Elephas maximus indicus: one gene and its partner. The protein of the gene in region 2 interacts with the protein of the main gene of each other region in a pairwise test. Links are inferred from orthologs where the notes say so. Each region holds a gene or a part of one and is shown on either strand. Other genes may lie near its edges.

Region 1 (16,897 bases), on a different chromosome or scaffold from region 2:
AAATCTTTACTGGAATGTGGAAGCTTTTGTTCCATCTCTTCATATAAAATGCCACTGAATTAGATGACCGCTAAGTCCACTTTTTTTTTTTTAAGTCCATTCAATCATTTACCGATCCTCTACCACACATGCCAGGCACTTAACTGGGAGGGAAGGCTTGATGAACTCAGTCCACAGGAAAGGCCCGGTTACTGCACTGTGATGTGCTTTGTGTGGCAAGGCGACATGAACAAAATGCAGTAACCACAGGAGGGAGGCTGAAGGCCTGGGCAGCTGGGGAAGGCGTCCCTATCCACTAGTCTGTGATTGCAAGATGACGATAGCTCTTCTTGGGGAAGCGGCCACAGAGGCTCAAGAGACTTGAAGCCCAAACAGTTACCTGCCTACTTCAGGGAAGGAATCAAAAAGAAGCCAAGAACCTAAACTTAACTCAAGCTGGATCTTTGTATCATACAGTTCTCAGCAAGGGAATAAGGGGAGAAATTTGGTTAGGTGTAGAATGGAGAAACTAGAAAGCTCTTTATACGGGTTCATCTTACTATTTGTTTTAAAGTAGTAGTACACTTTCAATTCAGATTCACTTAACACTTGCAAGCACAAAGCCAACTTGCAAGTAAAATATGCTATTTTGGGAGTACGTATCTCTCTATTCTCTTCCTCTATCGTGGACAACCACAGGCCATTTATTGGGGTGTACTGAGCACACAGCAGAGCCCCTCAGATTTCCAGCGCCCCATAGTCCTTTGGTCCTCACCATTGAGTCTATGTGATCCGTAGTGGATTCCTGTTGTGCTGCCAGGGTCTCACTTCCTAAAACCAACAGATATGACAAATCAGCCTTGCGTGGGCAACGGCACCTTCAACAGAACAGAAACCTCTCCGTGGACAAGCACAGGGGAGCTCACGAGAGAAACTCATCTGACCGTCTAGTCTCTGACACTCTCCCCGAGTTTGCTTCTTGGCAGGGCCACCCATGCTTACCCTCAAGGGCTTGCTCTCTAGGTTTGGATATGGACAAAAATTCATTTTGCTTTCTCCTTACCTTAGTGGAAACAGGCTGGAGTTTCTCCAAAGGAAATGTTTCGGTTGGATTTTTGTTTTGTTTACAAGATACAAAGCTACTTTTAAGTCCTTAACAAAAATTTATTATTATAAGGTAAAAGTAGCACATGCATATGGGTAAATTAAAATTATACAAAAGTATATAGTGACTATAAAGAATATATTCTAAAATGCAACCCATAGGTTAACTAGTACCATTCAAAGCCAACATTTCTTCATTCAAACAGGCCTGGGCCCCTTCCCTGGGCATTCCCAGGCTCCTTCCTCAACTCAGTCCAAGGCCACCCTTGGACTTGGAGCAATTCCTCTGCTCTCTTCTTCACTCCAGACTCTGCTCTCCAGGGACAGGGCAGGACAGGAGTCACATTAAACCTCAGTGATTCCGGTGGTTAGCCAGGTTTAGGAACCCTTGAAACGGTATTATGTCTCCCTCTTCCCACCTGGGAAAGTTACCAGGGTGCCCCTCCCTTGAAAGAAACGTCTTCTGGTCTATCTGAACGGGCATGCCTGTTGGCACCATGTGAATGGCATCACGTGTTCACATAAGGAAAAGATAAGCCTCTCCCTCCACAACCTCCTAGCGTTCTGTTAAACAAGATCAATGCCACATGAGGGAGAAAGCAGCTGAACAAGAGAAGCTTCCAAAATCTTTAGCAACCCCTGGCCCCACTGAGTCAGCTGATGTCATGCTAGATGCTAGATAATCAATAGAGTGAAGTCAGCCCAAGAAGGGGTAGCGTGGTGCATTGATTCCTTTGAAGGCAGCTGTGTGCCGTCTCTCACCTGGGTTGATGCCCTTGCTCTCCAAAATTGCCAAACAATTGTCCTGAAATTTCTCCAGCAGCTCTACCTTCTGAGTCAGGTCCTTCAGCTCTCCCTGTTGGGGTGCCACACAGACAGATCAGGCCTGAACCATTCCCTGGGTGATCTTTGCTACCCTTGCTCTTGGAAAGCCACAGCACAAGCCTGGTGTCCTCTATTTCTGGCCTCGGGGACTTAGGCATTACAAGCTTGTTCCCACCCAGAGAATGATCCCTCAGGATTCCACAGGCATTGCCCTTTGGCAGCTGACGGCAGAGGTCTGGTCTCTTACCTGAGTTTCAGTCAACTTCAGGTGCAACTGCTTGTTGACTGCCTCTAAGAGCTGGTTCTTATCCTTTAGCTCCTCCTCTGATTTCTGCTTACTCAGTGGTTTGTAGCTGTAATAATAATTGTACGTATATGAAGAGGTACGGGGTTGAGACTACGGGGTATGGAGTTACACAACAGCGGTTCGAATCCCAGTCTCACCACATAGTGGCATACGACCTTCCAAAAAACCCAAAACCCGACTGCATCAAGTCAATTCTGACACGCAGAGACCCTACAGAACAGGGGAGAACCACCCCACTGGGTTTCCAAGGAGCGGCTGGTGGATTCAAACTGCCAACCTTTTGGTTAGCAGCCAAATGCTTAACTGCTTGTGCCAGCAGGGCTCCATATGACCTTCAATAGGTTGCATATCCTCTCTGAAGCTGTTTCCTCATTTCTAGAATTAGGATTTACATCCATGTCTCATATTATTATGTAAAATAAATGAGAGAATGCATATACAATTCTTAGCACAGCTACTGGCACAGGCTAAACATTTAATAAGTAATATCCCTGGGTGGTAGAATCGGTTAAGCGCTCAACTACTAACTGAAATATTGGCAGTTCGAACCCACCCAGAAGGACCTCAGAAGGAAGGCCTTGAGATCAGCTTCTAAAGGCCACAGCCGTGAAAACCCTATGGAGTAGTTGTACGCTGCACACATGGGGTAGATCACTAACCACATGAAGCTCCTCTGATCCGGAAGGCTTTCCGCTCCTGCTGACTGGCAGAGCCGGGTTAGATTCTGAACCAGCCATGGTCCTGACAGGAGACCCAATAAGCTCATCTGCTACTCAAGACAGTAGCATCATTGATTCCTGCCCCAGTGATGGTTCTCAAACCTGCTGTTCTACTCCTGAAAACCCCACCCAGATATCTGGGGTGGAACCCAGACTGCAGCGTGATCCTGAATGAGACCCACTACCCTACGACAGTGGCCTAGTTCCATTTCCCCTGATGCTCGCTCACCTCTTTCTGATGTTCTTCTTAAGGGCAGGGTCTGCAGCTTTCATCTGTCTAGAGAACCAAAAACAAAAAACTTAATCAGAAAACCACAGTACTACTGTTACGTGTGTTGTCAACAAGGCAGGACAAAGCCTGAGTTTCTGAGTGAAGAACCAGAGAAAACAGCCCAAGCTTGAGAAGCTCTGAGGGTTCATGCACTTTTGTTTTACCACAGACTACTAAAAAAGGTGTATTAATAAGGAACAGGCTTCCCTCCCCTGACCACACCCAACCACCAACCTGACAGACCTCCTGCTCAAGATCAGGTCAGCTTTACTCATGGGGGAACTGAGAGCTGTGCTGGGAGACACACATATACACACACACACTACAACGGGGCTGGACTGTGCTCAGGCCAGCCACCTAGTCCCCACATCCCATAAATATCACTTAGGGCTGGTGTTGGACCACAGTACTGCCACTTGCACACTCAGAGCAATGAGTAAGCCTTGCTGTGTCTCTTCAGAACAGACCAGCACGTAGGGTTCTGACGAACTGCACGGCAGTGCTACACTGCTCTAGGTCGCTGCCCACAGGCCACCCATTCAGATGGCACGTGCTCCTGAAAACCCTGTTTTCTCATTCCTGGTGCTAAGCAATTTCCAGCAAGATGCTCTCATTAGATACCAATGATCTGACTCTTACCCAGTCTCTCGTCTTGGTTTGATGATTTTTGTAACATCATTCTCTGAACTGCCTGAATGAAAAAGTCTGGTAATGTCTACTTCTTTGGACTTAACAGGTAATAGACTTTTAGAAGTAGCTCGAGATTGTTTGTCTGTAAAAGAAACAAGAGTGTGAAACCTCAAGCAGCACGACCCAGCTGCTGCAACCCTGTAACGGAGGTCCATTCCAAGTTGTCATAAACCATGCTGGCCAATCTCAATTTTGAAGATTAGTTCGGAATAAGACTTCTGCAAATAGAAACCAAAATTCTTTAAATGAGCGTAGCCAAAAGCTTGATGAAACACCAGACTGAATGGCTGGAGGGTACAATGTGAATGTGGAGGTTGATAAAAGCAGAGAACTAAATGAAAGGCAGAGTGGAGGACGGCAGGGCAGAACACAGCTGAGTCCTTTGTCAAGCACCACTGGAACTGTACCATTTTCTTAAGCTTCCAAGTACTCTGCACACCCTCCTAACTCAACACTCAAGCTGCTTCGTTTTCTTTTCATTGCTGCTGTTGTTGTTTTAGTAGCCCCTGGGTGGTGCAAACAGTTAACGTGATTGGCTGCTAACTGAAAGGTTAAAGGTTCAAGTCTGTCTTGAAAAAAAAGCCCTGGCAATCTACTTCCAAAAACTCAGCCACTGAAAACCCTATGGAGCACAGTTCTACCCTGACACACATGGGGTCACTGTGAGATGGAATCGACTCAATGGCAATTGGTTGGTTGGTGGCTATTTTCCCCAGACTGTATCCCTAACAACTCAAAGAGATAATCTGTGTGTCCCTAGCCTAGTAGAGCATCTGACATATTAATACATTTTCAATAACTGTTGAATACATGTAACACTTCAGTATCAGCGGCTGTTTCACAAACCTTCATCCCTGAACTGAAAGTGTCTCCTCTGGTCTTCCTTCCCTCTTCCATGCTGACCGGCTCTGCCACCAGTCTTTTTAACCTGTTTATCCTCCATAAGTTAAAACCAAAACAGTTGCCATCGAAGTCAACTCCAGCTCACGGCAACCAGAAGTGGGTCAGACTAGAACTGTTCCATAGGGTTTTCAATAGCTGATTTTTCTGATGTAGCCTGCCAGGTCTTTCTTCCAAGGCACCTCCGGGAAGACTTAAACCTCCAACCTTTCAGTTTGCAGCTGAGCACATTAACTGTTCGTACCAACCAGAGACTTCCCGCTAAGTTTTGTTGCTGTTGTGTGCCATCAAGTCAATTCCGACTAATAACGATCCTATAGGACAGGGTAGAACTGCCCCATAGGGTTTCCTAGGCTGAAATCTTTACTAGAGCAGATTGCCAGGTCTTTTCTTCCACGGAGTGGCTGGTGAGTTCAAACCTCTGGCCTTTCCCTTTTGGTTAGCAACTGAGAGCTTAACCACTGAGCTCCTTCCAGGGCTCCTTCCATTAAGTTTAGAGGTTCCTACTTGGCATTATTCTGATTTTCTTGCTAAGCCATTGCCAGATAACACAAATGGCCCTATCATGCCACCCTTCTCTCCCAAAGGAGAGCATTTTCCCCCAGCCCTTGTGCCAATTATCTACAATTCCTTTTTCACAGCAAATTCAAATAACTTATTCTGGAGTTAAGCACTCCCCCTGACACACACACACACACACACACACACACACACACACACACACACAGAGGGGCTTTTCTAGCTTATACTAACTTCACTCTGTTCACTATAAAATGGCTCTCTTAAGCTTGATATACGGTTAAGAGCCACAACAACTCAGACAAGTTGAAGAAATGGGGTACAAAGCACTGGAACATACAAATAAAAACCCAGTGCTGTCGAGTCGATTCTGACTCATAGTGACCCTACAGGACAGAGTAGAACTGCCCCATAGAGTTTCCAAGGACTGGAAACTGGAACATAAAAAAACTAGGAAATTGGTTTTGTATTTGGTAAAGACTTTATTTTGAAAACTCTAGCTAGCAATAGTTTGGAATGAATAGGATTTCTCGGGTTACCAGTCTTTCCTTTATAGGTACACTCAACGGGCAACTTCACTACTTTAGATACCATCACCCACAAAGCAAATATTAAAAGGGCTCTTTTTGACATCTCTGTCTGAAGTAAAACGTAACTTTAGAGGAATATATTTTACCTTCTCCTGTCTCAAGTATTAGTAAACTCGTTACTGTTGAGTCGATTCCAATTAATAGCAGCCCTATAGAAGAGAGAACTGCCCCACAGGGTTTCCAAGGAGCAGCTGGTGGATTCTAACTGCCCTCGCCTTTTGGTTAGCAGCCAGGGCTCCCAAGGATTAATAAGTTATACTCAATAACAAATCAGCCCCATGTAAAAATGAGTTAATAGTAAATCGATCAAAACGATAAAATGATCGTTGACTCAAATTGGTTCCAATAATCCATATTTCTAGAACCCACGCACTGCAGTGAAGGAGAAACATTGTAGGATTTAACACAACTACCTTAAAATGGGAGACACTAGGAGGGGAATTAGATGGTGGTGTCGTGGAAGGTGTGGTGCAAAGAACTAAATCTGGCTTTCTGTCTATGGTTTTTGAAAACAGACTGAGCAATTAAAGTGCTCTTTGTTTTTTAAAATAGCCAGGCAAGTAGGGGCTACATACACAGGCCCCATACCTGGCAAACTAATTTCAGGAAGGAAGGGGGCAAGACACAATCAATCCTACATATCCACCGAGATCCCAACGGCTAGAGGACCCTGGGCTTGGGGCTGTCTTTTCGGGGCTTCCAGGACTGGTAAGAACATCATGCACAGGGGAGGAGCAACATGTGCCTGGAGAAAAGGGAGGCCGCGTACAGGGCCTCTCCCAGAGCTTGCCAGATGCGTCACTACACTGGTGTCCTGTCTGGTTATAATAAGTGGGTAACTGTAAGTACAGGTAATAGTCTCCATGAATTTTGTGAGCCATTCTAGAGAATTAACCAGCTCATGAGGGTTAATGGGGGTTTAGTGAGAGTTGGCAGAGAGGCTAGAAGGAAGAGTCCTAACTTGTGGAGACTCAACTCTTGAGCGGTTAGGGTCAGAGAGAGAAAGGGGCATGTGGGTGGCTGGTGTTGAAATGATGAAGTGGGAAAGTAGGGCCATGAGTTAGCTTCACATTTTGGAAATTAGCCCTATGTTATCCACAAGGAAGGGAAGGAGACTTGTTTCTCACTTCATATGGTTCTCTAACAATTTTTTTTTTACATGTGCATGTATTACCTACTCCAAAAACTAAAACACAAACAACTGACCCATACCCAAAATTGGAAGAAAAAAGCTGGGAGGCAGCCTAAAAATTTTTAACTGTTGAGGTTATGTACGATCATGAAGTGGAGGACAACGTTAGGAAGCAAAGACACTGAAAACCTCCAACTTGGCTGGGGAGAGCTAGTCACTCCCCACTGAGCAAGGGGCACTGCAATCTAGGGAGACAGCGGAGCTAGGTCAGCAGATGTGGTGGCTTCGGGTCTTCCAGCAATTCCTCAGTCCCTTGCTGACGTGGGGATTAACGCCCAGGTGTTCTGAGGCAACAGAAGCTGTTAAACCCTTGGAGAAAAGCCTGTTTACCCCACAGATCAATCAACCCTACTACTGCTCATCAACTAGCTGAAAGGAGTCATCTGGGAAAGGCTCAGAAATGGCGGCTTCATCATCTCCCACAATAGTTTTCCAGTGCCTGAAGCTTATTCTGTGCTATAATCTCTAGATTAGGCAGCTGACAACTGCAGATCCTATGCAACGACTTTCAACCACAAGCAAGGTAACAAAGCCAAGTGGCCAAGCAATTAGTTGTTTTTAATCATGTCTCTCTCTTCTTTATTCTCAAATACTGGGACTAGGCTGATCCCTCTCTCCTTTCACTTAACAAACATTTATTGAGCCAGTACTATATGAGAGACACTGGGAAGGTATAAATGTGAAAAACATGACATGGTGTCAACAACCTAGTGCCTGCCGTCCCCCCCGCCGCCCCCCACCAAGTATCCCACTTCCCAAACGACCTGGACAGTCCAGGCCCTCGAGACTGTCTACACTGGAAATAAAAGTGGTAACTCGTGAAATGGCAATTCCTGGCTTAATGGGAATTAAAAAAAAAAACCACAACTGACGAGTCGATTCCAACTCATAGCGACGCTATAAGACAAAGCAGAACTGCTCCACAAGGTTTCCAAGGACCGCCTGGTGGACTCGAACTGCCGATCTTTTAGCTCGCGGCCGAACCCTTAACCACTACGCCACGAGGGTTTAGTGTAGACCAACCAGCAGCTTGAATCTAAGCAGCACGGGTTAGGTCTTGGAGGGTAGCAGGGCAGGTCTAAGGCCCCACCACTTGACCCTTCCCCTAACTCCCAACCATAAACCTAGAAAGCCTGGTTTTAAGAGTAGGTTGTTAGAGCCGACGGAATGCACTCCCCCGGTCCGTGCCCCCATCCCCGCACACACACCCCCCTACCACTACACGTCGCTCTGCAGGGACCCAAGGGGGACCGAGGTTGGACACCCACCTGCGGGCAGGCCGCCGCTCAGCACAGAGGGGGGCTGCAGAGTGTACACTGTCTTAACTACGCTGGTCATCGTAACGAGGCGGCACGGCTGGACCCTGGAGGATGCAAGGGTGGTGTCAGCTATCAGGCGCTGGGCCGCCCGCCCCAGCAGGGCCCGCCGACCTAGCCGGCAGCCGGGCGCCCAAGCGGGCCGAGGGTTCGGGGCGGGCGCGACCTGACCAGCCCCGGCTCTGGGGAGAGGCCGGGAAAGAGAGGACCTCTTCGGGATGACCTTTACACTTGATCCTAGCCAAAAGGCCGAGAAGGATGAGTGGGAGTTAACCAGCCCATTCCGTCCGCCCCCCACATTCAGCGCAATCCCTTGTCCCAGGAGAGCCGAACCCGGGAGCCCGCCGCTCCGGCCTGCAGTCCTCCTCGATCTCGTTCAAAAGACGCTCTGAAGTAACTGCCGCACCCGGGACCGAGTCCGCCGCCTCCGTTTCAAATGGAAACTTCCGGTAGCTGGGCGGGAGGGAATGAGATTCGGCTTCCGTAGGCAGCCATGTTGTACGGAAAATACTATCCTGGCCTATGGCTTCAGGAGCTGCCATGCTGTACGGTAGATTCGAGTAGAGGCGGGAGACTGACTTTCCCAGCCACTGGTGTTGGAGCCCGCAGGTCTCAGCGGGGTGCACTTTACTGGCCTGAGTGGAGCTAATGAGCCACCCGCGTCATGTTCTGGGCTTGGGACACAAACGTGGCCACGTTGAGAGTCCATGTTGTCACAATCCTTATTATTTGGTCTGTGATTATTAAGGATATATTATTGCATGATGTCTGATTACGTAGAGCACAGGTTATTTGGATTCGAAGAAAGCTTCACGTTACAGGGTGGAGAATGGCAGGTGAGACTTGGAGAAAAGCCTGTGGACTGAAATACCTGAGGCACCTACCTGCAGTCCTAACTTTAATGGCATTTATCCAGATTTTAAGCAGAGATTCAAAGCTACTTCTAATAACGGGGCAGAGTTCTCAAGCACTTAACGCATTCACTTATTCATTTCACTCAACAAATGTTTATTGAGTACTTGCTGTGTGCTATGGAGCACAGCCACTATCCTAACTGGGTGAAGGGACAGCAAAGTTCAAGAGTAATCTTATGTCTGCCCTTGAGTTTACAATCTAGTGCAGGAAATGGTAAATAAATATATGTACATATTTACCAATTGTGGTAAAACTATGAAGGAAAAGTACAAGGTATTATGAGAGAGAATAGCAGCAGAATCTAGTTTAAATTGGGCGATCAGGAAGGACCTCTCTGAGGTGATGTTTGATTCAGGAAGGATTAGTGGGAGTTAACAAAATGAATACAGGAGAGAAATACAAACCCTCAGGGCAACAATAGGGTTTTCTCCTTTTTTTTTTTTTGAAACATTTTATTGTGGTTTGATTGAAAGTTTACAAAGCAAATTAGTTTCCCATTCAACAATTAGTACACATTTGGTTTTGTGACATTACTTGCAATCCCCTCAATGTGACAGCACTCTACCCCCTTCCTCCGTGGGTACTCTGTTTCCATTAGCCCATCTTTCCTGCCCCTTCCTGCCTCCTGAACTTTGTTTTTGGACAAATGCTGCCCTTTTGGTCTCATATGGTTGATTGTCCTAAGGAGCAGCATATTCCTCACAGGTGTTATTATTCACTTTATATGCCTACTGTTTGGCTGAAAGGTGATATCTGGGAGTAGATTCTGCTCCAGGTTTCAAAGGGTGTCTAAGGGCCATAGTCTTGGGGTTTCACCAGTCTCAATCATACCAGTAAGTCTGGTCTTTTTTATTAATTCAAATTTGTTTTACATGTTTCTCCCACTCTGTCCAGGATCTTCTACTGTGATCCTGATGAGAGTGGTAGGTAGTAGTAGCTAGGCACCATCTAGTTCTTCTGACCTCAGCCTAGTGGAGGCTGTGATTCATGTGGTCCATTAGTCTTCTGGACTGTTTCCTTGAGACTTTTATTTTCTTCACTCTTCTTTGCTCTGGACAGAAAGAGACCAATAGTTGTATCTTTTAAGATCCTAGACGTTACTCACTACAGTAGGATGTAGAACATTGTGGACTATACTATGCCAATTAACCGAGATAACCCCCAAGAATATGGTCCTAAGTCCTCAAGTCCAGTGACCCAGTCCTTCAAGGTGTTTGGTTATGGCTAAAAAGTTTTCATAACTGTGCCCCCTGTGCGATCTACTATATATATGGATATAGTTGTAGTAAGTACAAATACATATGTAGAAATATCCTCTGCCCAACGTATATATGCTCCTGGGTGTACTCCCATATACCATCCCACACCTGTTCAGCTTACATTACTCCCTATATATCTACTCATAAATTATTGTTTGTTATTACTGTTTTTGGCAGGATTGTGTATGAAATAGTATTTACTGTCGTTTCCTTTTACTCTTGCGTTCCTCCCAGCATCCTCTTTGCCTTGGTCATGTTGTGCTGACATCCCCCTTTATTGTGTATTGCGTTTCCCTTCACCCAAGTTACTACCTTTCTACTATCTAGTTAGTGATTTTCCCTGTCTCCCACTCCCATTGCTGGTAACCATCAAAGAATGTTTCCGTGTTATAAAAATTGTATGGTAGAGGAGTCTGACTTCCTCTAACTTCACAAGGGAGGAGAATCAAAATCCATAGCCCAAGACTGATTGCTACGAGGCAGAGGTCAGACATAACCTCCTCTCCAACATTTTACCAGTTCTGACATCAACTATTCCTCCCACATCACTCTCTGCTTCTCTGCTGGGTTCAAAAATTTGTTGCAATGGCCACACAGAACTCACAACGATACTCACAGTTATGGGATTTATTAGGGAAGTAACACGTTATAATTCAAGTTCAGTTTCTTCTCATCTGTGCTCACAGACACACCTCTCTTTGGCCCCTCTGCTCTAGGCCAGCCTTTGTCCAGCTCAGGCAAGTGTTACAAAGCTCTTTTAGTTCTCCCAATAAGTGCCCAGAGGTACCCCACTCAGCCAGTAAGCATCAGCCTGAAGACGCTCAGCTATAGCTCCCTGGGTCTGCAAACCAAGTTCCACCAAGTGCCTGGAGGCACCCTATTAGCAAGCCTCCTGCCAGAAAGTGCTCAGCTTTCTCACTCCATGAGCCGGAAAACCCACCACACCATCTCTGGCCAGCCTCCTACCTTTGTTGCAGCCATTCCTGTGCTGCTGCTTCTTGCCATCTTCAGTGTTACAGCTCTCTCTCCTCATCTCCTGGTTCCAGGAGCTTCTTAGCATAGGGATCCTGGGTTCAAATGACATTCTCCACTCCTGGCTTTTCTTTCTTGGTGGTGGTGAGATCCTCCCTTCCCTCCACTGGGATGGCTCATTTTAAGCCTAGCAGTATGGCAAAACTGACCAATGTCCTCATTAGGGTTCCATACACCCTATATTCATGGTCCCATCCCCACAAGGGTGCCATGCCCCTTATTTCCATTATTAGCAAGCTATCCAATCCTCTTGGTGGGTGACAAGTGTTATCGCAATTTCGCGAGTTAGAGCCGCCTGCCCCAAATAGCCAATTCTTGAGACAGGGGTGAGGTGGGTAGCAAGAACTTTATTAGATGTACCGGTGTATGGAGACAGAGGGGAATGATCTCCTCCTAAAGTCCTCTGTCTCACCAGACTACCGATGGGTTCCGGGTTTTTAAGGGAAAAGGGGCTATAAGTTTTAGGGACTTGTGGAATGTGCACTCTCTTTCTTCTGTTTGGTTTTGGTGGTCCTTTCTCAAACATGTTGCTGTTTTCCTGCCATCATCCCATCAGCTCAGGGGGTAGCTGGCGCCATCCTTCATCTTATTAGACAGGCTTATATCAATATCACTTGTTTTCCACAGTCTTAGAGGAAACATTGGTTAACACTTAACCATTTGGGGAGCTAACATCAGGATCTTACTTGGAGACAGGGATGGGCTAGGGGAGGGAAAGGAGAGAAAGAAGAAAGAAGGAAAAAAATTGGCTCAGGTTCTGTTCAAGATATGGCTGAGCACTCTGTTTCAATTCCCCCTTTTTGTTGTAGGTTTCTCAATCTTGGGAAACAGGGCGCCATATCTCTAGCTGCTTCCTGTTGGATGGGGGCGTGGAGGCCTAAGGGTTAGAGAAGTGGAACTCTTGTGTTGTCTGTGTTAAATCACTGTATCTCTCTTGTATCTATAAACCAAGCCAAAACCAAACCTAGTGCCATCGAGTCGATTCCAACTCGTAGCAACCCTATAGGACAGAGTAGAACTGCCCCATAGAGTTTCCAAGGAGCGCCTGGCAGATTCGAACTGCCGACCCTTTGGTTAGCAGCCGTAGCAATTAACCACTACACCACCAGGGTTTCCCTTGTATCTATAAAAAAAAAAATAGTGGCCCTTTATTAGGCTGTTGCCTCTCTTCTTCTTGGGTGATGGGTTGAAATTTCTGACCAACCATCGTTTGGAGCTGGAACTTTTAAATCACTTGAAATGACTCTACCCTTCCGGGGAGAAGGCACCAACTCATTAAGGCATACACCGAGACACATAAGCTTGTCTGGAGACAGGAACAACACAAGCAAAGGTTAAAATAGAAATTAGTAAAAGGGCTAGAGCGAAACAATTCTTAATACTTCTATATTCCTTATTTTTATGATACTTATTTACTGGTCTTTGTTTTGTCTCTTGAATAGCCACTTAAGTCTTTACACTGGTTCATATATTTTTTAAAAAAGGCAAAAGTGGGAAGCAGACAAGGGTGTTGTTGGAGTCGTGTCTTTTCAAGTCTTAAGAATACAGGGTATAAAATGAGCAAAACCATTGAAAGCTTTACTTTTTCACAAACTGGAAACTGTAATCTCGTATCTTGAATCATCATTCTTAACGATCATTGATACAGGTTTCAGTAAAGAGAGTCAGGAGGGTCTTCATTGGTCTAACAAATTTCTATTCATTAGATGTTAATAGAAAAAGGTAAGAGTGGAAAGTCTTTTGTGTTCTGGCTTATGTGAAAGGTTCTTTAAAAGACATTTTCTGAGATTATCCTATTTATTGTCTTTATACCTCAGGGCCCAGTTGATGTGTCCCTGTGAGTCCTTGTAAACCCAGCTCCAGCTGGGTCACATTCTCTATGCTCAAGGACAAGGAGTAATGACTCTAATATTATTTCTTAAATCATTCCCTCTTTTTGATTGGAGATTGGAGATACCACATTTGATGATCAATACCTGGACTTAGTCAAGTTCCTAGATGGCGACCATGGCAGGTTCTTTAAAGTCACGGTGCTGTTTTCCACCAGATAACCATCTGGTTCTTCACCAGGATCTTAAGAGCGATGTTCTCATCAATCATACTGTTAAAGTGAGCAAACTCAATGTACATCAACATTTTAGCCCAAAGCCTTCTTTTGTCTTTAGGTGTGTAAGACAATAGAAGTTAAGTTTTATTATGCCTAATACTATGAGGATGTAGACTAAGAATATTACTTGTAGTAGTGTAAATAAATCTGGTGTTTGTAAGGGTGTTACCGTGTGTAACCAAGTAACTTGCTGTCCAATTCTACTTGTATATTCTGTCCTTCTCTTGTGTTATTTATCTAAATGTAACAAGAGGTATTTGCTACAGCACATATCACACTTTTTTGGACCAATAAATAAAATCTAAGCTTATTTTGTTATTTCATGTCACCTTGGCTTAATGAGGTCAGAGATCACTGTTGTGTTTCTATCCCACTAGCAACTTTGTCATTTGTCCCATAGTGATTGATAAATTTCTTAAAGATTTCTCTAATTCGAATATACCATAAGTAGGAATTAATGTTACCAACCATACCCTGAGTGTTGAACCAATAGACTTTCTTCTGACTCTTGTTTTACAAAGAATAACAAATTAACATTACCTTTCCAGTATTTACCATGAATACCTAAAGATAATTTTAAAAGTTCTCAAAGTGTATTGCCCATGCATTCGCCAGGAATCTAAACGAGATTATCCATGTAAATTCACTATTAGTTAGAAAGGAATTATTTAAATTAGTATAGTTGGATCCACCACACAAAAACATATTTATAAGGCACACTAAGTTAAGTTTGTCTAGAGAAAACAGAAGGTATGGAAAATTTACTTGTGACAGACAAGTTTCTATTAAGAGCACATGATTAGCAAGATAATACAGGAGGGACTTCTGTTGGAGGTTTTTAGTTAATTAGTTTAAAACATACAAAGTGTTCTTCTCAATGGCAAGCTGTCCTTCTCTGGTTTACCTATTAACAGTCATGGATCACTTCTTTTAGAAGCAGAAGTGAAACCTAAGACAGAATGGAGTCAGAGTCATGAGGTCGATCTCTTCCCAGAGCCTGGTTTTTTTTTTTTTTAAAGATCTTTGTAGAGAAAGAAGGTGAGAGTTTGATTACAAACATTAAACAGGTATTTCATACAGCATTGTCTTGAAGACTGATAAAACTGATTACTGATTTACCCTAAACATAACTCTATTTACTGATCTTGGGAGTCAGTTTCTCAAAACAGACTGAATTCTTCAAAAAATAAAAATAAAAAACACAACGCCCAGAGCAAAATGGTCTTGGCTAGTTTATCTGGGCAATTGTTTGACTCAAAGTGGCTTCAGGAATGAGTTTTTTTTTTCAAGGCTTGAGGTTCAGAAGGACACCCAAGGCGATGGCCTATGTAGGTTGCCCCAACCTCTATGAAAGCCAGAAATCTGGATTTCAGGAGAATTATATACACTCTCTCACAGCTCCCTCCTTTGGATCATGATCTTGTTATAGCATCTTTGGCCAAAAATGTTCAATAAATGATAATTGGGCATCATCTGGTTTTTAAGACCCCCAGGCACCAAACAGCAAATCAGGAGGTAGAATAGAAACATACTAGACCAATTGTCTGAAATAATCAATGAAACCATGACCCTAAGGTCTTTGAACCGAGGAAACAAATCTCGTGAGGTGTTTGTTTATGTCTAAGCAGCATCAGTAACTGCTTTTTGTGTGTCTCTGTAGCAACCACATTCTGTAAAACTTATGACTGTGTATTAATATAAATACAGCAACATTTATTAAGGCACAAACTATTCCTTGAGAGAACTAATAGAAAGTCTAATACTATTCTAATCTGTAGAATCAGTCATAGCTCAAATTTCAGGCACTCTTCTGGTTATGATATTTACAACTTTCTTAAGTTTACCAACAGGAACTTCTAATTCAAGATTTAAAATAACTAAGCCCATTAAAAGTTAGACAATTTAGGAGAAAAGAGGAAAATGGTTTCTTACATGTAGAAAATAGGACCTTAAAGTATTATGTCCAGAAAGAAAGACCTTAAAACATCAGAAATATTCTCACATAAAACCCATAGTATTGTTTCATTTACTCAGTCTTACGTAGTTAACTTCTGTTGCAAGTGATCCTGGATCGGCTGCAGTCTGTAAAACCATCAGCTTCTACATAGAGGTTCTAGAAATCTTGACTGAGTCTAGTCACAGTCTTTTTCATAAGTCCAATATACCACTACACCACCAGGGCTTCCTAAGTCCAATATAGTCCATCTTTTTTTGTTGAGATATTCTGGTCAAATGTTTTCAGAAAATCAGTAAAGTAAAAACTTATCCGTAGATGACAAAACTTAATATGGTCATGATTAATTTATAAACATAATTCTTTATAGTGAAAGACCCAATAGAAATTAATTACAAGCATAACATAAAGGCCAAATAAAATCAGTTAAAAAAAAAAAAACTTTAAATAAAAATATTTTCAATAATAACATTAACCATATTTTTAAAAACTTCCAATGTAACACATAATAACCTTGTGACATAATGCCATATAGTCGGGATATCCCAAAAACATTCTAAGATTATCAAGTCTCTAAATACCTGAAGAGTAATTCTTCATTTAATCTATTGGCTTTGATGTTGCTAGATTCAAAAAAATATAGTTTTCACCAAGTTAGCAATCATTTGTTGCCTAATAGTAGGCAAAAACACAAGAGGAAATACCAACATATAAATTTTAACACAAAGAGAAAGAATCAGGCACTGCTCATGATTTTAACAACGTTCTATGTAATTTATAGCATGTTAAATAAACTTTTTTAGCACTTTTTTTAAATAAAATTTTGTGGCTTCCCAACTTGTCAGGAGTTTATCGTAAGTTACTAAGAACCAATACTTTATTTAACCAAAAATCTTAAAGTAAAAACCTTAGTTTTCTTTTTTTTTAGGCCATATTGTTTGGTTTCTGACTCAGAAATCTCATTGTAATGACAGACTGAACCTTTTCGTCTTTGAAGCAGAATACAGAAAGAAGATATTAACTCTTTAACTGAGTAACCAAAGAAAATTTTATTTTAACAGCGAGAAACCTAATTCTTTGTTTTATATGCTATTTAGCATTAAAGTTCTTAAAAATCTCATAAATTAAACCATTAACTTTAGTCAAACAGATAGAACTTTTGACCGTTATTAAGAAAATTTATTTTTTTCAATAAACTTCTTAAATTTTTTGTTGTTG
Region 2 (15,672 bases):
CCCCTAAAAGATATTTTCCAAGATTATTCCATCTATTGTCTGTATACCTCAGGGCCCAGTTATTGTGTCGTTGTGAGTCCTTGTGAGCCCAACTCCAGCCGGGTCACATTCTCTATGCTCAAGGACAGGGAATAATCATTCCAATATTTTTTCCTAAATCATAGGTTACAGTTCAGGTTGAGGAACGCTCGGATACAGGTCTTCCATCAGGACTGCCTCTTCTCAGCTATGCTCGCAGGCCCGCCACCTCTGCCTTGCTGGGGAAGGTGTTACAAGCTCTTTTAACTTTGCTGATAAGGGCCCAGAGGCACCCTACTCCACGAGTAACCTTGGCCTGAAGGCACTCAGCTCTAGTCCCAGGGGTTGGCAAACCTAGCTCCAAGTGCCAGTAGGCACCCTACTCTACCAGGAAGCCTTCTGCCCAAACGCACTCACCTTTCTCTCTTCTTGGGCTGGGAAGCCTACCACGCTGCCTTCTGCCAGTCTCTCCTGCTGCCGTTTCTCTGCTACCGCTTCTCGCCATCTTCAGTGTTACGGCTCTCTCTCTCCCTCAGTCTCCTGGTTCCAGGAGCTTCTTAGTGCAGGGATCCTGGGTCCAAAAGACACACTCTTGGCCCTTCTTCCTTGGTGGCGGTGAGATCCCCTTTTTGCTTTGGAATTGGCTCTATTATAAGCCCAGCAGGATGGCAAAACCTACCACTCCCTTTTGTGGGCCACAATTAATCTTATTTGCACAGTCCAACCCAAACACTTGGATGGGAGTTACAAGACAATGGCGAGAAAGGCCACACAAAGGTAATCCGTCGCACAGCAAATGGTATAGCTTGAAGGCACATATGGCAGAAATCACGAAAGGAGAAACCCAGAGGCATATATAGTCAATAATGGTAGCTGTGACTATTGCTGTTATTGGTATTGCCTTTGAGGAGTGCCTTTAAGGTGGGCTTTGAGAAAAGGGTGGGTGGAGGAGGCCCAGGACTTTTGCAAAACAAACAATCCATAATGAATGTCTCAATTCTCTGCAAGGTGCTGTCAATCCTTTGAATCGTGGAAACCTGTAAGCCTCTGGGGAGAAAGGGGGGTTATTGGTCCTCCCAGCCCTCAGGAAAAAAACCAGGAAATTGGGGCAATAGACACGACATCCAACCAGAAGAGAAAAAAAGAAAGAGTGTAGGAAAAGTGTGAGTGAAGGCACAAAAGTGAGGTTCTGGAGAGCAGAGCCAGGTGCCTGTCTGGGACCCTAGTCCTCTGTGTCACTTTAACCCAGCCCAACCCCTGAACCTCCCCTAGGCCTTGATTTCTCCTTCTGCAGAGTGGGGGAGCTAGCCTCTGACCCCCGGGATCCTTCCAGATTCAAATGCCTGTAATACCAAAAATTGCCTTAAGCCTCCTGAAACAGCCACTTAAGTCTTCTCAGCCAGTGGCTGTGCCATTGAAGGGTGAAGCCAGGGAAGACCAACCAGAGACCAGGAGTGAGGGGTGGTGTAGGGCCTCCTGACAATGTCAGAGGACCCACTACACCAGGAGTGGCCACATCAGCTAGGGACATAGCATTTCCCAGCCCTTGTTTTCTTCTTTGAAGTTGAAAAGGAGGAGAGGCTAGTCGTTCCATTTGACAAGCGGGAAAACTGAGACTCAGAAGGAGTAATTGACCAGAAATTCGCTAGAACCTAGAATTCCCCACTGTCAGTACGTGGATTTTCCCAGGCTTATAGTAAAAAGGAAGCAGGCTTTAAAAATCAGACAGACCTGAGTTTATAAACCCAGCTCCTACAGGTTCTGGCTGTGTGACCTTGAGCAAGTTACTTAACTTCTCTGAATATCAGTTTTCTGGTCTGCAAAATGAAAGCAATAATAGTATACCCTGTTGGGTTGTCATAAGGATTAACTGGAGCAATGCCCATAAAACACAGAGTAACAACCCTATACAAGAGCTCTTACTATGATTTTCCAAACTTGACCCACCAAATCTGTGCTGAGCTAAGAGCTCGCTGCCCAGTGGTGCTCCTGCCATTTGCCTCCTGTGCTCAAGAGCTGACAGTGGCCCTAAAGCCTGATCCGAATCATACCCGCCTTGCAGTTTATGCCTTGAGCCAGGCCCTGATAAGGTAGTCCAATAAACATTTGTTGAATGAATAAACAAATAATCATGGAAAGAGGCATTTGAGAGAAAAACTGAAGGAGCTTCATGAGATCCTGGCATAGACTTACCTTGCGATCCCAAGGAGGGATCTGCCTGGGGTGGAGGTGAGGAGACTGGTGATGGAGGGCAAGTCAGGGAAGACTTTGAAGAGAAAGCAGCACTTGAGCTGAGCCTTGCAGGGTGGGTGGAATTAAGGGCATCTCAGACAGAAAGGACCAGAGAAACGGAAGCATGTTCAAGGGCAAAGAGGAGGGACAGCAAGTCAGGTTTCAGCTCACATCAAGGAGTTGTCCTGAGGTAGAAATTGACAACCTTCAAGGACAGTAAATCTTCCATCCCTAGTGATATTCAGGAAGCCCTGGTGGCGTAGTGGTTAAGTGCTACAGCTGCTAACCAAAAGGTCAGCAGTTTGAATCTGCCAGGCACTCCTTGGAAACTCTACGGGGCAGTTCTGCTCCGTCCTATAGGGTGCTATGAGTCAGAATCGACTAGACGGCACTGGGCTTAGCGATATTCAAGCAGCAGAGGCAATCATGGGGTGGGGTGGGGTTGGACTAGATACATTTTAATGTCCTTTCCACTCATGGATTCTGGGAATCTGTTATTAGGCTGGACTCAGAGGAGGTGGATGGATAGAAGGCCCGGAAGGTCCAAGCTGGTCTTTGTCTACTATGCGTGTGTTACTGCTCCAACGGGTGTCTCATTTCTCTGTCAACACTCTTGGGTCCCTAAGAACAACAGGCTCCAAGTTCTACAGACTTGGGCTTATGTGGAAGTTTACAGAAGAAGAGGAAAAAGGCTCTGCCCAGGGCCAGGCCTAGGGATTTTGTCCCCCCACTTCTGTTGAATCAGCCTATGGGCAATGTTTCTTGCTAGCATTTTCCAGTATCCATTCTTTCCTGTTTCCTTTACTAGTAAAATCCTGCCCTTCCTGAAATTTTGGTTAGCAGCTAAATATATACTTCATTTTCCAGTGTCTCTTGTGGTCAGGCATGTCTATGTGACTAAATTCTGAGCAGATGTGGTTTGTGGTCCTTTTAGGTTATACCTTTAAAAATGAATACGTGCGGACTACCCTGGTCCTTTCCCCCTTTGCTTTCCACAAGATGAGATGCAGATGTGATGGCGGGTCTCAGAGCAGCTATCTTGTACCTCGAGACGGAAGCCATCTTTTGAGAATGGCAGCACGAGCTAAAAGCATCTGGAATCCCTGACACAGTGGGATTGCCATTTTAGCCCAGGAGTACTTACCCTTGAAGATGTTACAAGGGAGAAATAAGTTTCTATCCTGTTTTGTGTGACTGTTCATTACAGCAGCCTGAACCTGTATCTTAACTAATATATCCTCTTAGCTCCAACCACGTCTCTTATTTGTCCCACATTTTTGCTCAAATGCTGGTACTGACACTGATACCACTGAGTGAAAACCTTCCTTGCCCAGCTGACCTCCTAGAACCCTGTCCTGGCAGCCCCCTTGGGAAGGGGACCCTCCTTGTGCTTGAGGACAGTAAGAATCCTTGAATTTGAGCCCTGAGTAAGCCAGTCCCTTCATGTTTGTAATCTTAGTTTTCTCCACTGTGTGGCTAGCACCAGTAAACACCGTTCCCTTCAAAAGGTGGTTTTATGCAACCACAACATAATCATCAAGATTTTGATCTTGGGTAGAGGCTGGGGAGGAGGGTTGTTTCATGGACAGTACTGCAAAGAAAGAGGAAATTCCCACGCACCCAACAAGAGACCACAGAAACGTATACATCACAACACATGCATAATAAACACACGCTCATGGCAGTCGAGCTCTACAAAACCAAGAACACCCCCAAATACGTGCACACAAAACGTTCTCATCGGTTCATGCAAATGCAGACACATGCAGACAGAAAGGTGCCCCAAAAAACACCCCCACAAAGAGAGAGGGGATACAAACACATACACAAGCTGCAGCTGCTGTATTTTATCTCTTTATTGTTGCTGTCACCCAGTTTCTTCAGCATCTTTTTTTGGGGGGGGTGTACCTCCCTAACTCTGCCCCTCCATTCTTTGTCTCATGCTCTCCATCTGGCCCTTTTGTTAGGGGCCCGGGATGCTTCCTTGGTGGCTCTTGGGGCCTCAGTCAGGTGGGGTAAGTCCTGGGGTCAAGGAGGCCTGGACCCTGCTCCAGGTCCTAGTTCCTCTGCAGTTCCGCCGCCGTGGTCCTGTCTCCATTGCCGTGGTGTGGTGTCTGTGCTCTGGCCTCATCTGCGGGGAGGGAAAGGCACAGAGACCTGGCTTGAATTCTGCCGCTCCTGCTCACTTGCTCTGTATATGCACCCTAACCTCTCTGGGCCTGTTTCCCTTTCTGTAAACCAAATTTCCCTCTAACTGGAAATACTGTTTCCCTTTTTGCTCTGGCTATTACCAAACCAAACCAAACCCAGTGCCGTCGAGTCGATTCCGACTAACAGCGACCCTACTGGACAAAGTAGAACTGCCCCACAGAGTTTCCAAGGACTGCCTGGAGGATTCGAACTGCCGACCCTTTGGTTAGCAGCCGTAGCACTTAACCACTGTACCACCAGGGTTTCCGCTCTGGTCATTAGGATATTTTATTCTGTGTAGAGACAACAGGAGTTCTGCAGACCCCTTTTCCTGCTTCTCCAAACCACACACATGTAAGCCTGTTCTTTTGAGGCAGAGGGACCTCCTTTGGTGCTCAGGGGGGCCCCCTGACTCCTTACCTCCAATTCTGTCTCAGGGACGTGCCCCTCTCTTTTTCTGCTCTGCATTCTGGAACTTGGTCACCAGTTTTCTCTCGTGCCCACCAGGACTGGGGCGGTTGGTGTTGGCAGCAGCTTCTCTCTTGGTGCGACCTTTCCGGCCACGTCCTCCTGGAAGCCAAGGCTGGTGTCAGAGGGGAGGTGGGCTGAGGTGTGATAAAAGAGTTCACAGGAGAGGCAAGTAGGCAGACTGTGGCAGGGTAGGTAAGAGCTTGGGCTGGAGTAGGGAGACTGGGAGGTTGTCACCCTGTAACTCTGGGGCAGTCACAATCCCTGTCAACTTGTTTCCTCATCTGTGAAATTAGAGACCCCAGACGATCTGTAAGTGTGTGCGGTCCCAGGCTGATTAAGACAGGGTTCAGTGGATGGGAGATCAAAAAGGGAGACTTAGGGGTCACAGGCTGACCTGAGGGGCCATGAGAATAGGTTGTCTGGAAAAGGGCGAGTGGTGAGGAGAAGTCCAAGGAGGGGTCCTGATTCGGGGTAGGGGACGGGGTTGTCAGCATTTGTGGAGGCCAGGGATTAAAAGTGGAAGGACCAGGAAGGTGGCAGAGCCCTGGGGCCTTACCCAGGTAGGAGTGGGTCAGGCTGTACAGGTCATACTCATCCAGGCTAGAGTCCTCGTCCTCTGGGCCCAGGGGTTGCTGGGAGGGGCTGGCTGCTCCTGGAAATGCGGCCATCATGTCTGGCTTTCTCTCACTGCCTCTCTTCTTTGTCTTCTTGTAAAGCTTTGTTTGTGTCTGGTTTCCTGACTGGGCACCTCTCCCCGTCCAGTTCACTTGCCCCAATTTATAAGGCCACGTCTCCTCCTCAGCCCACAGTCTGGCTCCAGTCCCTTAGGCTCTGGCTGATGCAATCTGGCCCTTTCCCAGAACCCGGCCTAGTAAACACAAGTCACGAGAGGGGAAAAGAGTTGGATCCTGTGAATCCCAGCCTCCCTCACCCTCTCCCTCTCTCCGGGGTCACCCAGCTGGGGATTTTTCCACAGAGGTGACCCCGCCCTTCGGGGAAGAGGAGAAAAGAGGGAGAGCCTAGATATAAACAGTTATTGGGATCTTGGCCAGTGGGGACCTGACATCCTCACCTGGGCTGATTCCTTCCTGTCCATCCCCCCTCTGATCCTGTACCCTTCCTGAGCCTGGGGTTATGGCCACACAGATCATCTTCTCCCCCAATTCTGGTTCAGATTCAGGACTGTGATGGCAGAATATAGAGTGAAGAAGGAAGGGGAAGGGAATATCAACATGTGTCCTTCTTAGTTCAACTCCACTACCATTTACTCTCTACCTACTGTGGGCTAGGTCAGTGGTTCTCACCCCTATCACACCCAACACCCCTTTTTTAAAGAACTATCTTGGAAAATCTCCTTAATATTCTGAAATGGGGTCCCTAGGTAATCTCCCTCCCATGAGAGGGAGCTAGCAGAGTAGTTAGAGAGTAGATTTGTGAGCCATACGCTCTGGGTTCAAACCCCTGATCCACTACTTCCTGTACGAGCCTCTCTGTGTCTCAGTTTCCTCCTCTGTAAAATGAGGATAATAATAATCGTACCTACAGTAGGAATCAACTTGACAGCAATGGGTTTGGTTTGGTTTTTTACCACATAGAGTTGGTGTGAAGACCAAATGAGATAATACATGCAAATGAACTCACAACAGTACCTGGAACAGTGTAAACACTATGTAAGGGTTAGTCATATCATTTCAAAACAACTCAGTGCCCTAACTGAAATATAAAGGAGACACAGAAGGAAATTAATTTATAATACAATGTGTTTCGTAACATGGATCTACTGAGGTAGAAGACATAATGAAGTAAACAGATATTTGTGCATATTATGAATTAGTATGAATTTAAGGAATGTGTTCCAATAAGGAGCCCTGTGGTGCAGTGGTTAAGTGTTCGGCTGCTAACCAGAAGGTCAGAAGTTCGAATCCACCAGCCACTCCTTGGAAACTCTATGGGGAAGTTCTACTCTGTCCTATAGGGTCGCTATGAGTTGGAATCAACTCGGTGGCAGTGGGTTTTTTTTTTTTTTTTTTGGTTCCGATAAGAAACAAGTGAAGATGGAACATTCCACTCTTTTCTCAAGGATCTGAACTGTGTGGGTCATGTTGACCCAGAAAGGCTATGGCCTCAGTTGTTCACTCGTGTTTTCCTAAGGCTTATACATGGACTCCCAGCTCTTGCTGTCCAGGGTGAGAGAACTAGGCAGTCACAATATCACAACAGTCTTTTTTTTTTTTTTTCTTAACCTGATTTTAAAGTGTGAATTTAAAAAAAAGTTTATTGTTTTGTTGAGAATATGTACAGCAAAATGCAGGCCAATTCAACCATTTCTACGCAGCAATCCTATAGGACAGGGTAGAACTGCTTCGATAGGGTTTCTAAGGAGCAGCTGGTGACTTTGAACTGCCAGCCTTTTGGTTAACACCTTTAGCCCTTAACCGCTACACAACCAGAGATCCATGTACAATTCAGTGACATCGATTACATTCTTCAGTTGCGTAACTATTCTCAGGCTCCTTTTCTGAGTTGTTCCTCTTGCATTAACGTAAACTCATTGCCTCCCAAGGTTCCTCCCTAATCTTGCCAGTTGCTGTTGTCACTTTGATCCCATATAGATAGTTGTTCACTATTTTTTTTTTGTAAACTCTGTAGTTTCCAAACAAAACAGGACCTTTTCAGCCTGGGTCAGTTGTTAATTCTCTGCTCACACCCCCACTTTGCTTTGAAACCATTAAACTACTGTTCTGTTTCAGTGTTACCCAAACTTCACCCTTTCCCCAAACCCTATAATAACCTGTCTTGGCCTTTGTTTAACAAGAAGCAGCACTTTCGCCTGACTTCCTTCCTTGCCTGAGCCGGAATTAAATTTAGCTTTTGTTTTCCAGCTTTGAGGTGGAAAAATTAGGAAATACGATGTTCTTCCAAAGGGGTGGGCTTTATTACTGAAGGCAGTAGAAAAACAATTTCCTCTAATCAGACTTGGAATGAGGTTGTTATCGTTGTTAGATGCCTGAGTCGGTTTTGACTCATAGCCACCCCATGTACAACAGAACTAATCACCTCTACAGTCATTATCTTTATTTAAATTGAGGTTATTTCCCTCTTATCATCTGGCCTGTTATAATCACAATCCTGTGTTTATTCAAGTGTTCCCCTGTCCTCACTTTCATTTTCATTTTCTGGGTGTCAACTCACAAACCACCCAAAGCTGGAAAACAAAAGCTTAATTTAATTCTGCCTCAGGCAAGGCAGAAAGGCAGGCAGAAGTGGTGCTAGAATGAGGTTCAAACCAAAAAAAACCAAACCCACTGCTGTCCAGTCGATTCTGACTCACAGTTGCCTTATAGGACAGAGTAGAACTGCACCATAGAGTTTCCAAGGAGCGCCTGGCGGATTCGAACTGCTGACCTCTTGGTTACCAGCCGTAGCACTTAACCACGACGCCACCAGGGTTTCCAGAATGAGATTAGGTTCAGATAATTATAAATACGTTTTTTTACCTTCATGAATGTCTAGCAGGACAGTCAAATATCATGTAGGACGTGAGACAACACTTTACTTGTGGGACTGTTCTGCCCTTTCCTTTTCAAAAACACCCCCACGAATCCCACATATTCCCAAGATGTCCCCTAAAGGGACATCCTGGCCCTGTTGAGGAATAGGTCATTCACTCATTTCCCTCTTCAGCCAGACTTCACTAGTTCCTAGCTGGGAGATATTGGGCTCCCTTCTGAGTCTCAGTTTCCTCATCTGTAAAGGGAGTGTAATAATAGTGCCCAATGCGTGAAAGGGCTTAGTCCAGAGCCAGGCACAAGGTGAGTACTATTACTTCCCCCATTCCCTCAAAGAAGGAAAATGAGGCTCAGAGAATGACTTGCTCAATGCCACATAGCTAGTGAGTGGTGAAGGATTCCTCCCCATGGTCCACCTGACCCCAATTCCAGTGCTCCTTCTAAGTCAGCACAGCTGGTCAAACAGTGGCACAGGTTTGGCTGCTCTGTGTGGAGGCACCTGTCAGGGGTTACAGAAAACTACACAGGCCTGCAACCTCTGGAAGGTGTGTGATGGGGGAGAAGGGGTCCTTAGCACATTAATGCACACCCCTCTCTAAAATCCCACACATGGGGAGGGAGGAGGAGAGGAAATCACTAACTAGTTAGTAGACAAGGATCAACATTGGTGAAGGGAAGGATAACACAAAATACAGAGGAAGTCAGCACAACTGGACCAAAGCAAAAACAAAGAAGTTTCCTGGACCTATCCAAACACTCTGAGGGACAGAGTAGCTGGGGCTGGGGCCTGGGGATCATAGTTTCAGGGGACATCTAAGTCAACTGGCATAACAGTTTATTAAGAAAATGTTCTACATCCCGTCTTAGTGAATGGCACCTAGGATTTTAAAAGCTTTCGAGAGGCCATCTAAGATACTTCAGTGGGTTCCATCCTACTCGGAGCAAAGGAGAATGAAGAAAACCAAAGGCACAAGGAAAATACTAGCCCAAATGACTAAAGGACCAAATGAACCAGAGATTCCAGCAACCTGAGACCAGAAGAACTGGATGGTGCCCAGCTACCACCAAGGACTGCCCTGACAGGGAGCACAACAGAGAGTCCCGCACAGAGCAGGAGAAAAATGTAGAACAGAACTCAAAATCGCATAAAAGGACCACACTTAATGGTCTGACAGAGGCTGGAGGAACCCTCGAAACTAAGGCCTCCAGAGGCACTATTAACCCAAAACTGAAACCATTCCCGAAGCCTACTCTTCAGACAAAGATTAGACAGGACTGTAAAACAAAAAATAACACACGTGAGGAATGTGCTTCTTAGTTCAATCAGATATACAAGACCAAATGGGCAGCTCCTGACCAAAAGCAGGGTAAGAAGGTAGGAAGGAACAGGAACTTGTCAAATAGACACAGGGAACCTGTGGTGGAAAGGGGACACATGCTGTCACATTGTAGGTATTACAACTGTCACAAAATAATATGTGTATAAATTTTTGAATGAGAAATTAACTTGAGCTGTAAACTTTCACCTAAAGTACAATACAAAAAAAGAGAAGAGAGGAAAAAAAAGAGAAAAGAAAAACACCACACATATCCCCCAGTTATTCTTTTTTTTCTCTCTCTTTTTTTTAATTGGGTGAAAACATACACACCAAGACATCCGCCAACACGACTTCCACATTTACAACTCAATGACACTTATTACATTTTTCACGTCGTGCCGCCATTATCGCTATCCTCATCCAAAATATTCCACCACCATTAACTTAAACTCAGTGCTCTCCCCCAACAAAAACTCCCCTTTTCCACCTTCCTTCCACACCTGCTAACTATTAACAATCTTAGGTTTCTATGTGTTTGCTTATATTTCATATAAGCGAGATCATCCTTTTGTGACTTACTTTGCTCAGCACAGTGTTTTCAAGGTTCCTCCGTGTTGTGGCATGCACCAAGGCTTCATTTCTCTTTATGGCTGTATAATATTCCATTGTATGTATATACGACATTTGTTTATCCATTCATCTGTTAATGGGCATTTCTTTCAGCTGTTTCCACCAGTTTGCTATTGTTAAAAGTGTTGCAATGAACATTGGTGTACAGGTTTCTGTTTGCGCTCCTGTCTTTATTCATCTGGGTACATACCTAGGACTGCGATTGCTGGGTCATATGGTAGTTCTATGTTCAACTTTTGAACCATTTTCCACAGTGGAGGCACCATTCTACACTTCCACCGACAATGGATGAGTGTTCCAGTTTCTACAACCTCGCCAACACTTGTTTTCTCTTTTTTTTCAATCATTGCCATTCGAATAGGGGTGAGGTGATATCTCATTGCAGTTTTTATTTGTATCCCTCTCCCCCAACAGTTATTCTTTATCCCACTACCCTGATTTTATTTTACTTTCTTCATAGCATTCAGTCATTGCTAATCGAATGTATGTTTTTATTTGTTTACTTCTCTATTATTTGTCCACTAGAATGCAATGATTGGGTCTGGTTTAGTTACGGTGAAGGCAGTAGGATCTGGAGCCCTACTGCCTGAGTCCAAAGCTTGGTTCTGCCACTTGTTAGTTGCATAGGCTTCGATAAGTTATTTAGCCTCTCTGTGTCTCTCAGTTTCCTTTGTTAAAAATGGGATTAATAATGGTACCTACATTGTGGGAGTATTGTGGGGATTAAAAGACCAATTCTTATAAAGGCTTAACACTGTGCCTAGAACATTGTAACTGTTCAACAAACGTTAGTTATTATTATCAGTATTAATTGGGGAAGGAATCTTTTTTTTTAATTGTGCTTTAGGCGAATGTTTACAGAGCAAATTAGTTTCTCATTAAACAATTATTACACATATTGTTTTGTGACATTGGTTGCCAAACCCACAATGTGTCAACACTCTCACTCTCTTGACCTCAGGTTCCCCATTTCCAGTCGTTCAGGTTTCCTGTCCCTTCCTGCCTTCTTGTCTTTGCTTTTGGGCTGGCGTGCCCATTTAGTTTTGTATACGTGGTTGAACTGCGTGTGTTATCGTTTGCTTTGCTTTATAGGCCTGTCTAATCTTTGGCTGAAGGGTGATTGTCTTAGTTATCTAGGGCTGCTATAACAAACAGAAGTTTACTCTCTTACAAAATAGTAGACTAGAAGTCCGAATTCAGGGCACCAGCTCCAGGGCACCAGCTTCAGGGCACCAGCTCCAACTCCGCTCTAGAGGAAGATCCTTGTCATCAATCTCCCCCTGGTCTAGTAGCTTCTTAATGCAGAGACCCAGTCCAAAGGACGCACTCTGCTCCTGGTACTACTTTCTTGGTGATATGAGGTCTCCCTGTCTCTCTGATTGCTTCTGTCTTTTATATCTCAAAAGAGATTGATTTAAGACACAACCTAATCTTGTAGATTGAGTCCTGCCTCATCAACATAACTGCCTCTAATCCTGCCCCATTAACATCATAGAGGTAGGAGTTACAACACAGAAAAATCACATCAGATGCCAAAATTGTGGACAATCACACAGTACTGGGAATCATGGCCTAGCCAGATTGACACTTGACACTTATTTTAGGGGGACACAATTCAATCCATGACAGTGAACTTCACGAGTGACTTCAGTACTGAGTTAAAAAGGTATCTTGGGGTTTCTCCAGTCTCTGTCAGACCAGTAAGTCTGGTCTTTTTTTGTGAGTGTGAATTTTGTTCTACATTCTTCCCCTGCTCTGTCCCAGAAACTGTATTGTGATTTCTGTCAGAGTAGTTGGCGGTGGTAGCCAGGCACCATCTACTTGTGCTGGACTCAGTCTGGTGGAGGCTGTGGTAGCTGTGGCCCATTTGTCCTTTGGACTAATCTTTCCATTGTCTTTGGTTTTCTTCATTTTTGCTTGATCCAGACAGGGTGGGACCAGTAGATGTATCTTACATGGCCATCCAGAAATTTTAAGACCTCAGACACTACTCACCAGAGTAGGATGTAGAACATTTTCTTTATAAACTATGTTATGCCAATTGAGCTAGATGTGCAATTCAGAGGTCCATCGCCACGGGTCTGAATAAGTAAAATATGGGTGCCCACTATGAATATTGCACAGTCGTTCTAAGTAACAGGTTAGGTGTACCTACAACAAGAACAGGTCTTAAAAGTACTGTGCTGAGTGGAAAAAGTAAGAACTAGAATGAGGTTTATAGCACAATGCCATTTAGGTAAATTAAAAATACATGCACACTAAAGGAAGAAAGGAAGAATGAAGAAAACTAAAAATACAAGGGAAAGATTAGTCTAAAGGACTGATGGACCACATCTGTCACGGCCTCCACCAGTCTGAGTCCAGTACAACTAGATGGTGCCCAGCCACCACCACTGACTGCTCTTACAGGGATCACAATAGATGGTCCTGGACAGAGCTGGAGAAAAATGTAGAACAAAATTTTAACTCAAAAAGAAAGGGCAGACTTGCTGGCCTGACAGAGACTGGAGGAACCCTGAGAATACGGCCCCTAGACACCCTTTCAGCTCAGTAAGGAAGTCATTCCTGAGGTTCACCCTTCAGCCAAAGATTGGACAGCCCCATAGAACAAAATGAGACTAAAGGGGCACACTAGCTCAGGGGCAGGGACTAGAAGGCAGGAGGGGACAGGAAAGTTGGTAATAGGGAACCCAAGGTCAAGAAGGGAGACTGTTGACACATCCTGAGGTTGTTTACCAATGTCATAAAACAGTATGTGTCGTGTTTAATGAGAAGCTAGTTTGTTCTGTAAACCTTCATCTAAAGTACAATTAAAAAAAAAAATACATGCACACTCAACCATGCCCATGTTTCACAAGGATACACATGTACACTATTGGGGGAGGAGGGAAGAGTGGAGAAGGGATAGAAGGTTATTAAAACATAAAATGAGAGGGCCGTGCAGAGCCCAATGACGACAGTGCACCATGAAGTGAGAAATATGAGTGTCTCGACCTCTGTACCTGGATTAAAAAATAAAAATCTTTTGCAGTTATGCAGGCAAGGGCAGAGGCAGCATGAAATTGGGTGAATGTGGCAGAGGTGAAAAGTGGGTGAATTGTGTTACAGGAATGAATACCTGTAAAGCGTTTTCAATAGTGCCTGATACATAGTAAGTGCTCAACAAATGTAAGCAGATATTTTTAAATTGCAGACCCTTAGTGACAGATTAGATGTGGGAGGGGAGGAAAAGGGTGATGCCAAGGATCACTCCCAGGTGCTGGCTCCTGTCATTGTGCCCAGTAGGAGGTGAGGAAATGAAAACCGACGATAAATAATTCTTTTGAGAAATCTGGATGGAGCGGGGCGGGGGGCGGGGGTGGGGGGGGCGGAACAGAGCTATCCCTTCTGTGTGCAACACTCTAAAACACTGTTTTTTTTTTTAATTATCCAAGTAATACATGTTCATTATAGAAAAATTAGAGATTAAAGATACATCAGTTGCCATCAAGTGAATTCTGACTCACAGCAACCCCATGCGTTTCAGAGCAGAACTGTGCTCAGTAGTTTTCAAAGGCTGTGATTTTTCGGAAGGAGATCAGGTCTTTCTTCCGCAATGCGGCTGTGTGTATTCAAACCGTCATCCTTTCAGTTACTAGCCAAGTCCGGGGGCTAGAAATTAACGTTACATTAAAAAATGTATAATTGTGAGCCCCGAATTTCTCCTGATGAGTAACTGGGGGGGGGTCAATATTTAATCTTTAGGAGAGAAAGCCCCTGAGACCTTTACAAACACAAAATTTGCAAAGTCACTGCTAGTACAACCTTCATAAAATGTAGTATATAGAACTGAGACTGGTTAGATGCCATTTATTGAGATAGGGACTACAGGAAGAAAGCTTGATGGAGGAAAATCATATGTTAAGTTTTGGGCTGAAACGGCTGCAGAGTTGAAGTTTGAGATACTCTAATGAACAGAAAAGTATTTACTGAGGTCCTAAATTTTTTTTTTTATTATTATGTGCCAGGCACTGTGCTAGGTACTGGGAATACATAGGTAAGACAAATGATCCCGACCTCATGGAGCTGGCCAGTCCACCAAATAATCAAATATACATATCAAACTTTGGTAGAGGTTATATAAGAAATTACAAGACACTATGATATCCTTTGATAAAAATCTTTGTAGCTAAATGTTTGTTTGCCCAAACCCTTAATATCTTCCTGGGGAGAATTCCGTGTGATTTCTGGGTCTAAAAATATGCCCATTTATACATACATATATATGTGTTTAAATAGATGTTTTTGGGAATTGAGAGAGGACACTGAAAACACACAAGGACCCTGGTTTATTAAGATTCAGCTGAAGAATCGGAAATAGTGTGTCAAAGTAAAAACTACATTTCCCAAGGGACAGCACGGCACGTCACAAAAGGCCGGACCGCGCAAGCGCACGGGGGTCCTCCCGCTGCGCCTCGGTTCATGAAAGAGAAAAAAGCGCGTGTGAGGCTTGACGTGCGGCTAATCTTCGAACGCAAGTGCGTTATCTTCTGCGGACCCTGAAGAGGTGTTCAAGGACCGCGCCTGTTTCCCGCTGTCGCAATTTCCAGCGCGACGTGCTTGTTTCGTCAGTGACACGGTAGGTGGGATGGGTCGCGGTCTGGGACCTCCAGAGAATCGCAGCCGCAAAGGGCGGAGGTCCCCCTTGGCGTCTCCCCTCGGGCCCCGCCGAGGCGCTGCTGAGAGGGATGCGCACGCGCCCTGGGTAGGGAGGGGCGGGGCCGGGCGGTGGCACGCTCGGCTCGCCTTGGGGTCTGCGCCTGCGCCCTGGCGACCCCGGGAAGAGGGTGGGAAACGGCGGGTTGGGAGCTTCGCGAGGACGCTGGGTGGCGTCCGGCAGAGGGTGGGAGTGTGGTTGGAGGTGGGGTGTTCAGCTCAGGTGCGAGAAATATTGAGGATGGGCCCCGAACTCGAGCAGTATTTTTTTTTCTCAGAATGTACCCATCTTAATAACAAAATAACCTCAGCCACCTTCCGGATACGTCCAGTTATTTTATTTGCCTGCTCCCCTTTGTAGGCAAAGGTTTTGGTGTATACTCACTAGCACCTCTCCAGTCAGGCACCCCCCACCCCCCGCCCCATCTGCTGCCCTACAGGGTTGCAATGAGTTGGAATGGACTCAGTGGCAACGAGTTTTTGACTCCATTGAAATAGCTCTTATCAAAGCCACCAATGACCTCTAGTTAGCCAAATTCTGTGTTAAGTTAGTTGTCAATACTTAAGCATTCTTTGATGCAGTTGACCACTGCCCCTTCTTCATTTGT

The links.
Region 1: the proteins of NUPR1 (region 2) and KNSTRN interact in a two-hybrid assay, tested with the Homo sapiens proteins (2 studies listed by BioGRID and IntAct). The link is inferred for Elephas maximus indicus from reciprocal best matches to the Homo sapiens genes NUPR1 and KNSTRN.

What each region holds. Positions count from the first base shown.
Region 1 is NC_064828.1:15,632,641-15,649,537, reverse strand, and holds the start of KNSTRN (small kinetochore-associated protein), read right to left. Parts: upstream 8,955-16,897; coding exon 8,746-8,954; intron 8,460-8,745; coding exon 8,365-8,459; intron 3,978-8,364; coding exon 3,845-3,977; intron 3,212-3,844; coding exon 3,164-3,211; intron 2,262-3,163; coding exon 2,156-2,261; intron 1,940-2,155; coding exon 1,846-1,939; intron 811-1,845; coding exon 755-810; intron 1-754. UniProt on the Homo sapiens protein: Essential component of the mitotic spindle required for faithful chromosome segregation and progression into anaphase.
Region 2 is NC_064830.1:89,001,019-89,016,690, forward strand, and holds NUPR1 (nuclear protein 1), read right to left. Parts: upstream 5,678-15,672; 5' UTR 5,583-5,677; coding exon 5,468-5,582; intron 5,011-5,467; coding exon 4,874-5,010; 3' UTR 4,861-4,873; intron 4,382-4,860; 3' UTR 4,087-4,381; downstream 1-4,086. UniProt on the Homo sapiens protein: Transcription regulator that converts stress signals into a program of gene expression that empowers cells with resistance to the stress induced by a change in their microenvironment.